Linked DNA regions of Drosophila melanogaster. The protein of the gene in region 1 interacts with the protein of each later gene in a pairwise test. Each region holds a gene or a part of one and is shown on either strand. Other genes may lie near its edges.

Evidence for each region. Proteins that work in one complex are often made in the same cells at the same time.
Region 2: the proteins of CG18131 (region 1) and Pos interact in a two-hybrid assay, tested with the Drosophila melanogaster proteins (one large-scale study listed by BioGRID).

The regions. Positions count from the first base shown.
Region 1 is NT_033779.5:1,495,857-1,504,579, reverse strand, and holds CG18131 (uncharacterized protein), read left to right. Parts: upstream 1-3,971; 5' UTR 3,972-4,171; intron 4,172-4,293; exon of another isoform or gene 4,294-4,377; 5' UTR 4,378-4,387; coding exon 4,388-4,466; intron 4,467-4,534; coding exon 4,535-5,022; intron 5,023-5,158; coding exon 5,159-5,914; 3' UTR 5,915-6,125; downstream 6,126-8,723. Other genes in the region: CG7420 (uncharacterized protein), read left to right, coding at 1,952-1,969, 2,396-2,647, 2,708-3,481, 3,544-3,666; CG31661 (uncharacterized protein), read right to left, coding at 6,145-7,326; CG31926 (uncharacterized protein), read right to left, coding at 7,601-8,723.
Region 2 is NT_033777.3:32,034,699-32,041,597, forward strand, and holds Pos (poseidon), read left to right. Parts: upstream 1-3,631; 5' UTR 3,632-3,784; coding exon 3,785-4,649; intron 4,650-4,699; coding exon 4,700-4,731; 3' UTR 4,732-5,055; downstream 5,056-6,899.

The DNA.
Region 1 (8,723 bases):
GCGTACTTCTAGAATTACTAAAGGATAATGCATATGCTTCAGCTGTATTTGAATTTGGCGGAATTTTTACATTCTAGTACTGCATACTTTCAGGCTGCAAGCGTTTAGCAGCACTGCCACTGTTGTGTAACAGCTCAGCAAAAGCACTGTTATCTTATCTTAACAGCTCTATTTTCCGCCAAAAAGGAATTCATTTAAAAATGATTCAAATGATTCAATGTGAAAATCACATACAAATTGAGAAACAATACTAATATTAATGTTACAAATATTGTGCTTGTTTGGAAATTGTGTTTTAATTTATTCACTTAGCTCGTTTTATATCCGGCCAAATTCATAAACTTCTACGTAATAGTTCATATATCATTTGATTTTATTGCTTATAGCTTTATGGGGATTTCCCGTCATATATTTCCGAGTTGACCACAGTACAGCGGAAGTCCTCGTATAAGCCGTCATATTCGCGCCAAGAAATGGATAACAGTTCATACTGGACTCGCTAAAAATGGATGTTTGCCAAGGCGACTTTTGAATATCCTGCAATTTAAATTTGTAGTCTATTTTTACCCATCTTCCTCTGGATTTTCCGATTCTAATTTGACGGCGAACATGTTAATTCCCTGTGGTTTAATTGACTGCTATTGCAATTCAAACGGATTTCCACTTCCATCACCTTTGGGCACCTTCGATTGCATGTGGAGCAGCAGTCTTTCTTGCATGGCTTTTCTTCGTTTGCGGATATCAAGTGAAAATCATCAGTTTTCATTTCTAGCGTTTAGGGGCGCTCACCCTTTGTGTGTGCCAGGCAATTTTTGAATTGCAAATGCGGACCACAGTGCATTCTTCACGTGAGAGGGGTTGACTTTCCAGGAGGACGAGGAGGTCCTGGCCACATAGCATGCCAGGCGAACGTTGCAGCTTTGTAATGTCCTGCTGTTAGCGCCAGTTGCCCATTTGTGTAGCTCCGATTTTCTAGCGCCGTGATTTCGGTGTAATTAAAACAAGCTCACCTGTGAGTGGGTGATTTCGAATGAGCTTCTTGGCGATTACGAATATTGCTATATAATGCATGATCTTTTGAAGCGTAAGGACACTGTGACTTAACTATTTTTTGTTATAATATTGGATTAATATCATCGTATTTCTTTAATATATTGATATAATACCAGTCCACTAGAATGCAAATAGTCCTAGGCAATTTCCACTTCGTTTCTCTCGTATTTCATTAACTCTCGACTGCATTTTTCTTAGGCCAACTCACATTGTGGCTAACTATTGTGGCTTACATGGCCCAGCACGACAATTAAAACTTAATTAAAATTGCATGCACTTTAACCTTCGCCCTGAACTTCCATTGCTTTTAATTAGAATATATTTATATGCGCTTGACACGATTTTCACGCCCATCCGGCGGGATTATATAATCGTTATGGCCATAACCAAATGAGACATTAAATGGAAGCAAAGTGTTATTAGTTGGGTCCTAGGAGGTCAGCCGTGCTATGATTTAAATATTAATTACATATTGCTGAGAGGCGCTGAGCACAAATATTAAGCAGTTATCCTAATTTAAATGTCATATTGGCGGGAAAGTAAAAAAAGTACACATGTGTCTGTTATCTAGCAGAGTCATGTAAGCCAAACAGCTGTGCGCCAAGATCTGGCAACGCTGCCTCATTTGCATTGTTTACATTTTAGCATGCGACGCTGAAACTAATAGAACGCGAAATATAAAAGTAAATCCAAAGCAGAACCAAGCCTCAGTTTTACATGTGCTGGCAAAGGCAGAGCAGCGCTTTCGGAGCCAACTGGAGGCCATCGAGGAGTCGAAACCATCGGATCAGCAGGCGCATTCCTGGCGTGACTGCGGTGCATTAAATCACCCGGAAAATCGCGGCGACGAACAGCAACCGGAAGTTCGGCGCGAAACGAGCAACTGGTGGTCACCAGAATGGAGGTTTACGCCTGGGTAGGAGCCGCAGTAGAACTCTCGATAAGGAGCCGACCACTGAAATACCCTTGCAGAGAACGAGTTGGTTCGAATTAATCGTATCTCTGTGCCACCTGTAGATCCAAAACCAATATCTTACCTAAAGGCCAACTACTACGTAGTACTTCCTATAACATATCATTCAAGTCCTCGTTAAACCTTCGAAATCATTGTTTTACCACTTTTCTTATACTATATAAAAAGCCTATCTGAGAAGCCTAATATCTTTATATCTCTTAGCCATTCTAACGATAATTGCTTATCAACTTGCGTCTGAAACTACATTACTCTCTGCAAGGGTATGACAAGAAAGAAACAGAGACATCGCCACGGTGCATTTGCATTGCAAATTAATGAGTGATTTCCTTGGCTTGGGTTCTCGCCCCTTTTTTCGCCATGTCTTAGGGTGCCAATTCTCACGGCCAGCTCGGCCTTGGCTTTGAGTCCGAATTGTGCATGACACCGCAACGGGTGGCCAAGTGCTCCTTCGCCCCCGCCCAGGTTCGCTTGATTCGTGGAGGTGGTGGCCATGTTCTCATCCTCGACACAAGCGGACGGATTCATGCCTGCGGATGGAACAATCGTGGTCAACTGGGACTGGATTCCACGGAGGAGTGCCACAGCGAGTTCAAGATGATCCCCACGGAATACTTCGGGGTGAGTAAGCCTATGATCGCTTCTCCTAGAAACCCATAATCTCTAACAATAAAATTACAGGATGTTCCTGTGGAAACCATTAGCTGTGGCTGGGACATTTCGGGAGCCATCACGTTGACCAAACGCCTGTTTGTCTGGGGCTCCAATGCCTTTCAGCAGCTGGGAATTTGTCAGCGCGGCTTTACTGCCGTGAGAAGACCAATGCCAGTAAAGCTTCCACGCGAAGAACCCGCCCAGAGGATCAGCTTCGGCCTGCGCCACTGTGCCGTCCTTACGCAAGACAACAAAATCTACGTTTTCGGACGATTGAGGATTATGGACCCTCCGCCCATCGAGCTGGATATCACGGCCACCTGCCTGCACCGCTGCAATACGGTGAAGATACAGGTCCACAATCCCAACGAACTGCGGATAGTTTCCATTTCGAGTGGTCAGAACCACATGGTGCTCAAGTGCGCGGATCTAAGCGAAACGGGTGGAGGCAGCACCAAAAGAATCCTTACCTTGGGTGACAACAAGTTTGGCCAGTCCAACGCCTTTCAGTTTGAGGAGGATGTGCGTCAGTTGGCCGTGGGTTGGACCCACAATGCAGCTGTGCTCAAAAACAACGAGATCCTCGTATGGGGTCGCAATTGCTACGGTCAGCTGGGAATGGGTTCGTTCAGCGAACAGCAGGCAATACCCACGCCACTTCGCCTGAAGCTTCCTGAGGATCAGGGTCCTGCCAGAATTCACATGGGCGCCGAGCACGGTCTACTGAGGACTACGGCAGGAGAGGTCTACACCTGGGGATGGAACGAGCATGGGAACTGCGGCAACAACAGCACCGAAAATGTGTAGGAACCGACCTTAGTCCACAAAAATAAGTACATATTTACATTAATTTACTTTTCCAGTTGCACCCCAACTCTTTTACAACTGCCACCAGTGAAATTGTGCGGCGCAGGAGCAGGATTTTGTTACGCGATCACAGAGCCCGTAATCTAACTTTAAGTCCATGTGATGTCCTTCTGGTTTAGCTTATGACCCATTGTAAAATGTTCGTGTACGGCTTTGTTAAAACTTTTAAATAAAAATACTACTGTTATTGATGAAATGAAAAAGCACGAGTTGGAACTACAAATAGTGAAATAAACCGAGTTATCCTTGATATATTATACTAATTCTGATGACACTTTTACGTCAAGCACTTATTTAAATTTACTAGAAGCTCTTTGTTGGGCGGCTACACACATATGAACGGTCACATTGCGGTCACACGTATGAACATGATTTGATATTTACATAGTTTCCTAAATATTCCGATTATGAGTTAGATATTTAAATGAACTCTCTTATTATGGTCATATCATATTTAACTGCCATATCTGAAGGCTTTTCTTTAATAACATTAAGACCAACCAATCAGTGTTGCAAAATAGTCCAGTGCTGCCCATCATCCTTATGCCAGAATCTTTTTTACCGGTCACATTTCTTTTCTTCTTGCTTCACTTCGCCAGTAGGTGACGTTCGTTGTGGTGCGGGGTAAGTTAATTAATTGTTTACTGCGTAATCCAAGCCAGTCTTCATAAACAAACTGGGTGCATATTGACTGGGCTTTTGCTCGATTACCAAGGCTTTTCTATTGTTTTTATTCAGTGAGCTGCGGTACACAGCAGGCGACGGTTGATCAACTTTATTGAAGTCAGGCATATTGTTCGTTCCTCCAAATTTATAGTTTATGTTTTTAGAAGCCGCACGATGTCCGAGAATGCCAGCAACAAGAGCCAGCTTATATCTAATGACCTAGACGAAGATGAGACTGCGGCCGCCACTCAAGGTAGAACTTTCGAGTGAACTTCAGGGTCTCATTGATGCTTATAATGCTACCAATTTACCCCTCCTCAGTCAACATATCCAGTCAGCTGGCCAAGAAAATATGGGGCGTAACATCCAACGACATTTCCCTGGGTCTCGTGGAGGCGTCTGAGGAAGCTGTGCCCAATTTTCCAAGTGGATGCGAATCAGGAACGGGGTGTGAAATGGGATCTGCCAGCAAGCCAGCGGCCAGCGAAAGTGTCAGCAAGCCAGCGGCCGTCGACAGTGCCAGCATTTACGTAACCGAGGTGGAGCGCGTTCTCTACGGAGATACCATCGGTTACCCGGAGAACGGCACTCATAACTACTTCAAGGCCGCCGAAAACTACTCCCTGTTCGGGGAGAGCTTCCTTGACTTTCCCAAGGACATGGCCAGCTGCCTTGCGGGCCTGAAACCGATGGTGAGTCAAGCTTGGAGTTCCCACCCGGGATACGAACGATCCGTCAAGTCGGTGCCTCTATATGAAAGAAGACAAGCTACTCCGGAACATGAAGGCGCTGCCTCCAACTTGCCGGGGGTAAGCTATGAGCAACCAGGCGCGAATCTATTAAACGGTTATCGGGTTTTTTTTGAAAATAGTTTAGAATTGCGTATCTATCTCACATACTATAAATATCCTATGCTAACTGCCATACATTTATTTTGTGTTTCAGAGCGGCTTTCAGCAACAACAAAGACAGATCCCTCAGCATCAGCAGCAACATCAGCAGCAGCAACATCATCAGCAGCAACATCATCAGCAGCAACATCATCAGCATCAACAGCAGAAACATCAACAGCAACAGCAGCAACATCAACAGCAGCAGCCACATCGTCAACTTGGCACCGAAAGCCACAATCGCAACTCGGTTAAAAATTTCAATGAGATACCATTTCCCCAGTTTTACCATCAGATGCGACACCAAGCGCCGCCACAGCCGCAGTTGAATGCGCCACGCAGCCACCATCATATCCACATGCCACAAAAGCAGCAGCAGGTGGCACCACAGCCACCACCGCAACAGCAGCAGCAGCAGCAGCAGCAACAGCAGTATCAGCAGCAGCTTCACCGTCCAAGTGTCGGGGATCTAGCTGCATTGTCCAACGCCAATCCCAAGGACTTTGCTCTGCTGTATCAGCAATTGATCGCTCGAAATCTGCGTCAAGCTTCGCAGCACAACCAGCAACACTCGCAACAGGCTGCCCCGCAACAACCTCAGGCTCCTAACAATGCTGCTGCTGCTGCAGCCATGATCTACAAGAATCTGGAGTTTCAGCAACAAGTGCAGCTGCGACAATTGCAACAGCTGCATCAGCAGCAGCAGCAGCAGCAGCAACAGCCTCGCATGCCACGTGGCATTTATGGGGGCAACGGTGGTCAGCAAACCGCACAAAATGGAAAGGAACATCAAGTTGGAACCCACAAGTAACACCAAATAGCTAAGAGGTCAGATTTCCTAATGTCCAATCGATCGGAATTAACGCCCATTAACAATTCACATTTATTTGTCCAACTTTTACAATGTAATTGAATTTTTTTCTGTCATTGCCATTTATACAATTGGTAATATTTGTTTACCAAATTATAGTCCGAATATTTTTTTAAATAAATTCACTTATCACGCAAGGTGTGATAGTCATAATAAAATGAATAATCCCCTCATACAGCCGGTGCTATGCCCATTCTTCTCCTAGCCCAATCGAACTCCACATAGTTCTCCCGCATGAAGGCATCACCGAGTATCCAGTACTGCAGGCCTAGCATGTCCATAAAGGCGGAGAAGCAAAAATTATCGTACCTGATGACGTAGGTATGTGGCTTCACGAAGAACTCCTTGCCAGCAATGCCAAAGACGATGATCGGAAGTTGGGGAATCGATTCACAGGCGACGGTGTACAGGTTATAGGTTTTATTGTGCTCGGCTCCGATGTCCTTGTTGATGTAGAGGACTTCCAGGACAGGACCAACGATCAGGGAGGTTCCCGTGTCCATGATGGCCTTGTTCCCCGTGCGGGAGCTCCTGGAACCCTTGCCATGGACCGCTATGAAGTCCAGCTTGAAGCTCCAGTACTTGGCCTCGGTCACATTTGTATAGGTCAACGGACCGTAGTACAGACTCGAGTTCGATCCACCGAGTATCATGGAGCCCCCATCACTGGACCCACTTTTCAGATGAAACGAGAAAATTGGCTGCTCCACCAACTGTTGGTCAATCATTTGCTGGAAAGAAGGGACCGATTTGGTCATAGAGAGTTGCTGAAAGGCGAAGCCAGCGATTCCATCGAAAACGGAGCAGGAGTCCGATATGTTGACCAATCCAATGCCTTGGTTCTGGATCTTTAGATCGCCGAAGCCAACATTATCCGAGGCCACGATTCCCTTCACGGAGCCCGATCCGTAGGTGATGCTAAATGGAGTTCCACTTGACCGAAAGGATTTGGAATTGGACTTCCGGAAAAACTTGTTCCCGCACGTTTTGATGCAGAATCTGCAATGGGAACTGGGCACCCAAAAGTCCGAGGAACCCGTGTCGAATTGCATGGTGAATGATTGATCTCCGACCGACACAACCCCGAAAAAGTTGGTATCGTAGGAATTTATCAGGGGCTCGGTTATCACGACTCCCTTACCGGACTCGCTGGTCACATTCACAGCATTCACCGTACGGAGTGGAGTAAATCCGTACTTCCTTCGCAGCGCATTCCGAAACTGCAGGTGCAGATGGGCGTGAGGAATCTTGTGGTGACGGTGGGATCGTCTCTCCAGTCGAAATCTGTGTACTTTCTTACCGCCTACAAACACAATCAGACAGAAAAGTAGGATAATCACACGTATATTCATGGTGCCTCACTGGTTGGGTTCCTGGTCACTTCGCCCGATTTATAGTTTTTCCATGTGGGATTTATCTGGTTCATGTTTATTTCGATTCACACGTATTGTGGGTTAAAGCTCGAGACTGGCACTCGAATATGTGATTTATAGGGAAAGCTCAATGATACGCAAATTCAATGGGTGTAGCTTTAGTATTTCCAAGGGGGGTTATTTATTAAAGTGGGTAAATAATGCAAAGAATACAATTGTTAAAGAACTTGTTTGAGTATATAGTTTGAACGACCTAATGAATTGCTGGTGCCAGTCCAATGAGTTTGTAGACAATATCGTAGGTCGTATAGTAGGCGCCCAGGAAGATCTCGCCCAGAATCAACAAGGAGTTGCCGTTCATGCTGGTGAATCCCGAGACACAAGTGTTTCCATATCGGAGCACGTAGTCGCTAGACTTCAAGGGGAACTTCCGGCGCGCAACGGTGAAGACAATGTCCGGAAGATCGCCGATCGAGGAGCAATCCACTAAAAAGACTCCATTCGAAGCCGTCGGGTTGAGAACTCCCAATATTTGGTTGATGGTATCTAGGACTTGCTCAGGCACAACAATTAGGGAAGTGCCTACATCGAGTATGGCCTCGCAGTTCTCACAAAACTGAAATCCATTCAGATTGGCACTAGTCATTGTAAACTGCCAGTATCCTGCGCTGGAAACTGGCACATAGGTCAAACACCCGCTGTACAGACCCGAATCCGATCCTCCCAGGATCAGCTCCCCACCGTTAATGGCATTGGTGCCATTTCTATTCAAGTAGATCGAAAACACAGATCGGTTTACTAGACCTTGGGCCATTAAGTTGTAGAAGGGTGGGGTAATACTATTAATGGCTATGCTGGCGAACCCCAATCCCAAAATTCCATCGAGCTGGGACTTCAGAAATGCGGTCTCTGGTGCATTGGTGATTTCGGCGAAGATCTGATTTTTAATGGAGTATCCGGCGAAGTTTACTGTGTCCTGGGACTGAAAGCCGGAGAGTGCAATAGGTCCTTCCTCTGAATTGGAACCGTATGCAATATTGAATGCGGTATTGATAGCCCTGTAGGTTGTGGAAGCACTTGAGTTGTACTTTATGCGATTGGCACAGGGTGCAACCGAGTCTGGACACTTGGATGACAGCACCCAGAGATTCGCCGAACCAGTGTCGATCAGCACTTTCAAATCCTGCGGCGGATTTCCGAATCCTAATGTGGTGTAGTACTCCGTGTTGTATAGATTTTCTAGCGTTGCGACTTTTGATCCTGGGACCTTGGTATCTGTTTTCGTTTTAGCTTTTGTATCATCAACATTTAAATTGTGTTTAATGGAAAGGGTCTTCAATTCGTTCTTTATGTTCTCCTCAATTGGTTCAGGATTC
Region 2 (6,899 bases), on another chromosome or scaffold:
AATTTTTGGCTTTAATTTCCCTATTGCGGGCGTTACAGTAGAGGTGATCAAAATGTTTTCAGTACGTCAAAATGTATCTTTTGTTACAAATTTGCACTGTGTCTATGTTTCTTTAATCTACATGGCTAATCTTAGCTTTTTTGAATTTAAGATTTCAGCGTTTAGTGTTCCAGATTAGGAATATACAGTTTATGGGGTCGGAAATTGTTTTTGTTTCCTGTTAAATATTTTTGACCGAGTCTAGTATACTTTTATAATAGTGGGTGAAATTACTTTAAAGAAGGTGTTACACCAAGTAAACATAGCAACAGAGATGAAAAGAAAACCAGAACCAGCGAGTTAAACAACTAAAAGTGTCACAATTGTTGTGACTTGTAACTAGGACCAATTGTTTAACTTTGGTCAGTAAAAGCACCTGTGCCTGCCGTAGCAGAATTGCAAAACATCATTTCGCTAAAATAAAACAAACAACAACAAAAAGTCAAGCAAAGTGGGAACTGGCACGGTAATGCAACAAGTCAAAACTGTACGTACTTAAAATTTATTATGTGTTTTCTATGACTTTGTGCCATTGTTTTTTGTGTTGCTAGACTCTTTACTCTTTTAGAGGTTTACTTGAGCATTAAATAAATCGAAACAAGAAAAGGAAAGGGCAGGGTAAGGCCCAAACCTGTACAGTTCCTAAGTACAATTGTCAACAGATCGCATTGTTTGTTTTCAGCATGAAACTTGTATACTTAATGTTGGCCTTGCATTAAATATAATATCCCAAATCAACTGAGCAATGGAACAACTTAGCGCAACCATTACTATTTGCTTACGTTCCAAAGGAAGTAATATTTGATATTAAATATTTTAATGTTGATTATGTAAAGGAAGACAGTATATTCTCGGTTAACGTCAAAGTGAGCCCGAAAAGTTAAATATTTTGTTTGAAAGCTTTGCAAATATACGTATTAAGTCTTATGCTCTGTTTTGCTGTGTGAATCAAGGTTGATGTAAGCGCACATGTTTTTTAGTCATAAGCACAAAAAATTGTTATTAAAAGATTAGCTTCGCCGAAAAAACATTTCGCGTCTGGTATGTGTATTCAAAATTAGAAGTGACAGTTCAGCGGAAGCTAATAAAAGCGAGAGGGTAGATAATATTGTCATTAAAATGCTTCCGCTTTCACCCAACAAGAACAGTTGCGCCTATTGTACGTCTCTGTCGCTAATCAGAAAAGATTCCAAAGGGTATTCATATGCAAAGCGGAGAGACACGATGCTCACATTATTCATTGCGAATGACAAGCGGAAGGGATACCGCTCATGACTTGGAAAGGGAAACTTTAGAGGCGCTTAAGGTAAAATATAATCAAAAGCCGTGAAAACATTTTTACACGTCATTAAACTCAAATTCAACAAACCATGGCAGCGTATGTTACAGCATCCCGCGAATAGCATACACACATTTATACAGAATAAAATGCCTGGCGGCGGATCACACATACATACAAACACCCACTTGCACAAGAAGCTTCTCATTCAACCTTGCCGAAGATTGATGTGCCTCGAATGCATAAATATATTAAAGCTTTTAATAAATTCGCGGGGAATGTTTTTGGGCTCATCGGCCAGGGTCCTGCAGTAATAATAAAAAAAAACTAATAATTAGCTTGATATGACCCGCTTATACCCCACAACACGTTAACCCACACGAGACAAGTTTTACACAAGTTTCCAACAAGAATACCGAATATTAATTTAAAGGGTAAACTCTTTAATTAAAGTACCATTCTTAGGAAATCAAATAAAATTGTATTTCTACAAGTCCTGGAGGCAAGTCCAGTCGGACCTTAATCCATAATGCTTTGAATTATTAATTTTTAAACTTTTCGCAACACAAAAAGAATGACCCAAAGGCCTTTGATTTGGCCTATGGGTCAGTGAAGCTTAAGTAATAGGGTGATGCGAGCTTGGTACCCTTGCCCCATATGTGCTTTCTCGCTTGAGTGCGCATTGTCAGACCCAAGTAGCTTAAGGGGAGGATTATTAAAAAGTTCGAGGGAGAAACCTCAGCAAAAAGATAACAGTATATTGATTGAAAACCGCATGCATAATGCATTAATTTTTCGAACCATTTCGTTTTTTCTTGTCGTGGATGTTACTCAGAAAAATCAGAAGTAAAACATTTTACTTTGTTCTACTCAGAAGGGCAATTTGTTTAACTGCCAAAAGCAAAATTATAAAAAATAAAACACAATTAATGAAATAGACACCGAAAAAATTAAAACGAGAACAAAACATCACTAAACAACACATGAAGGTAGCATCAGCAAGCTGAAGCTCTACGCCTGTTTTAATCAAATAGGAACAAGAGGTACTTATACAGGATACCGAACTGAGACCGACAGGCCTAATTGGGCTGAAAACTAATTCCATAATTTGCGGCCAAACAAAGAGATCGGTGATTGTCGAGTAAAGATAAGAAAAAGTGTTGACCGCGCAATTGTTATATTTTGATTTTATGATGCATAATTAATTAATATACATTACGCTGGCATAGGCAAATATTTGTTTGGGAACTGCCGCAGATGGCGAACGGTATGGTTTGACAACTTCTGTTTATCGCGGTCAGATACATATGTACATAAACTTTAGTCTCTTTATACCCGTTACTCGTAGAGTAAAAGGGTATACTTATTCGTTTAAAAGTATGTAACGGGCACAAAAGCGTTTCCGACTATATAAAGTATATACATATATCCTTGATCAGAATCAATAGCTGAGTCGATCTGGCCATGTCCGTATGAACGTCGAGATCTCAGGAAATATAAAAAAAAGAGAAGGTTGAGATTCAGAATACAGATTCTAGAGACAAAGACGCAGCAAAAGTTTGCTGAAACATGTTGCCCCGCCAACTCTAACGTCCACAAACCGCACAAGACCGCCCACACTTTTGTGATGTAATTGAATTCGTCTTGTAAAAACCGGACACATAAACACTTTTGAACTATTTTTAAATGTTTTCTCATTTTATTCCCTTATATCTATCGATACCCCAAAAACATTATGAAATTTCGGGTTCGCCTTCACATTAGCTGATTAACGGGTATCTGATAGTCCGTGAACTCGAATATAGCATTCTCTCTTGTTTTAAATTTTATTGTCCCGATTTAGCAAAGCAAAATTGTCAGGTCAGCAAGTTTTTGTCTGATAATAAAGCTGACTCTAATTAACACGACGAGCATGCATTTTTAGGCCCGCACATACAGAGGACCGAGTCACATTTCCGTTTCCGATTTGCATGTGGAACGAGTCGCGATTCCAAACACATACTATTGCAAATTTATTTGCATTCGACTTCTTGTATGTCCTTGCCCATTGTTATGCTAAATTCATGGGGGCGTGCGGTAATAAAACTTCCCAAGAGTTTATATGAATTCGCTCTTATTATCTAACACTTATCAGTGTGTTTATCCGACAACTAAACATTCGCCCAGTTGATATAAGGCTAAGGTTCAGCCGAAATGATATGGCGCATCTTATTATAATTTCCTTTAAAAGTAATATTGAATTCGTTTTTCAAATTGCACGTTATTCGGTTGAAGAATAGTTTTATTTTTACGTAAACCAAACCAGAATTGCTTAGATAAATGAGTCAAAGTATAAAAGCATGTAGTACTAAACATTTCTCATAAAAAATATCACTTATACAAAAACTACAATCGATCAGCTTGACTTAATACATATTCCACATCCACGGCGAAAATATTAATTACTCCTCACCAAGCAGAACTTAAATGAGTGCCCCAAACATGGATTGTGAACAGCGCGGCGATATAGATAGCGTCTTCGGCTGGATCGCCAATCTTTGCAACAAAGAAACGCGTCTCTGGGCGATGCTGGAGCTATTCGAAAGGCGCACCCACATTGACAGCCTAGGACTCTTGCTATGGCATTCCTTTGGAGCTGTGAGTGGCTTGCTACAAGAGATTGTGTCAATATATCCGGCCATTTATCAAGAAATTGAATTAACCGGCCAACAGTCGCACCGGATTTGCACTGCCATTGGGCTGATTCAGGCTATGGCATCACATCCCTTCATTGGTATTCAACTCATACGATGCCAATTCATGTGCTATTTGATGCCATTGCTTAAAATGACTTCTCAAACTCGCGCCGTTGAGCATGTTCGTCTCTCTGTCTTGGGCGTCATTTGCGGTCTACTGAAATCAGATCATCCGGAGATCGTATCTTATTTTTTGGGCACTGAATTAATTCCACTTACCCTGCGGCAGCTGGAGTTTGGTACCACAATGAGTAAGGTGCTCTGTGCATTTGTCTTGTACCGCACCTTAGAACATGAAGTGGGCTTAAAGTTTGCCAGTCGAAGACTGGCACGAAAGCTGCATCTGATCCATACTTTGGCCAGGGTTGTGCACCAACTCACACTGGAACCGGAGCCTAGGGTCCTTAAACATGTAGTAAGGATCTATTCTCGTCTGGCTGATCATCCCCAAAATCTGGAGCTGATCCTTAAGCTATTGCCGGCTCAGATTCGGAACGGCTATTTTTGCCAGGAAGGTTTAGTGGGCTTCGAGAGCGCTTCTCTAGAGCTAGCTGATCTTAACCGTAAGCTCAGTAAAAATGAGGAAAAGGACAAGGGTAAGGGATCCATAAACTCGCAGGATAATTTTATATAATTTTTCTTTTAGTTTGTGATGATGCCATGCCGGAAAACCATTGAAGCTAAATTTCACGCCTCCTTAGTTTTCCTTCCCCTAATTGTCCTAATCAATGCATACAATTGGTGAACCAATCAGATGTTTTATTTGGTTGCTTCTGGATATCTTTGGTTGGAGGATATGTAAGGGTTCTCTTGAAGCATTAAGTTAGAACAATGCAATAAACAGATCGTAAATATTTTGATACCATTTTTCCACCGTAATTGACCCGACGATACTTTCAATGTCAAACAATAAATTCAATTTCCAATCAATAGCCCCAAAAAAAATAAAGGCTCAGTAGCACACACACATTACAGTTACCCTAAACCCTACCACGCACGTGCAATGGCTCTACTTCTGACATATATATTTAGTGAAACATTCGAATGAGCAAAAGGTGAGCAAAAAGGAGCAAACGGAGTAAGTCCAAAGAAGCGGAAAATAAATGGAAAAGCCGATATGCGCCAGGTATTTAGAACAGTAAGAACCTTTAGGATATCATATAGCAGCTTTTAGTACCTAGTACCTAGAGCTGCGTCCATTAAAGTGTTTAAAAACTGATAAATTGAAAACTGATAAATAACCATACATTTTAGACTTAAACAGAGTCGGATTTCCATGGACCAAAAAAGATAAGCTAAGTAGGGTAAAATAAGCACAATAGCATTTTGTAGTTCGATTGCAAGGCAAAAATTGAAATCTTTAAAAATTGTATCTTGACTTTTGGAAAAAGCCTAAGTCTTTATCGAAGGTAGAAAGAAAGTATGCAAAGTAGCTAAAGCAGGGAATAAAACGCCACGCAACAACAATGACATTCAAACAATGCAAATCAATTTAAATTTTCATCTCACATGACGTAGTCGATGAAGAAGGGCCGGGAAAAAGGGCGCAAAAACGTACAGATAATGCGTGAGAATATCAGAAAAGCAACCACAATCTCTTTACCAAATTGTTTCGAGGGCTGCCATTGCCTTTTTTCGCTCTTCGTTGGTTTTGCCACGCAACTCAATCATAAGTAAATATCTGCCTCGCCCGCCCACACGCACACGAAAAAACGCAGCTTATTATGCCCACGGGTAAAATATAAAGGGAACGGCAGAAAAGTAGCACGTTGGCAGGCGAGACACGTTCTAATAGATTTTTTCAACCTCTCGCCCTTTGACGCCTGGCATGGCATACAAGTAACACATGTTGCTTTTGTTTGGCTTCCTGTCGCACAGAAGGATGAAAAGAAGGAATCCGTCAGTTTCATAAAAATTACATTTTCACTGCCTAAAATATAGTTTAGCTTTCTTTTCACTTCGCTAAAAATCGTATATGTTTTTATTATTGGGTCATCAGATCAGTATGTCTTGTAATAAATTAAATTTTAAGATTTGAGTTACCGAGTAAAAAAATGATTTGATACCATTTTCGTTTTTTTTTTTCTTACGTGTTCTCAACGCACCTTATTTTAAGCTTACCTATTTATTATTCACCTTTTGAGAACAGTTTAAAAATCAAAAAAGGATTTTAAGCCACAAATGGGCATTGATTAGATAGCCGGATAGGGCGCATGCATATGTACATATTTATGTTCATGTGTATATGAGCATAAATCTATGCAAATTGCTCGCAATTGAGTGGCAACCCAATCCGAAAATTATGCCATCAGCGCTCCACGGACAACAATGAAGATGAACAGCGCTTCTGACTGGTAATCGATGCTGCTGAATTTGACAGGAGGAGAACGAAGATAGCCGGCGGGTGGTAAAAGGTACCAAGAGCAGGAAGACAGCCAGAGCCGGAAGCTGGCAGACAACTAATTGGACATCCGGTGGCCCCGGCGCATATCGGCTTGGAATCAGGACAAGGGCACGGTAAAGGCAACTTAAGGATTCTTTCCTGCTCCCTTTCTGTCTTCTACTGATAAGTTGTGCGCTACGTTATTAACACCATATTGAGTAAAAGACCGGCGGCCTCAGAAACGATAGCTGAGCTGAAAGGTCTGTATGACTTGCAGTTGAGGGTAGGACCTGCCATTTCGATTCTAACTATATGTCCGCTGCGACACAAAAGAACCTGAGAAGCTCGAGTTGCCGGTGTCATTTGGATTGATTTAATTGAAGCCGATTACCCAGCTGGATTCTGCAGCCCAGGCCACCAGCAGGGCAACCTCATTAGGTCAATCCATATTCCAGCTTACGAC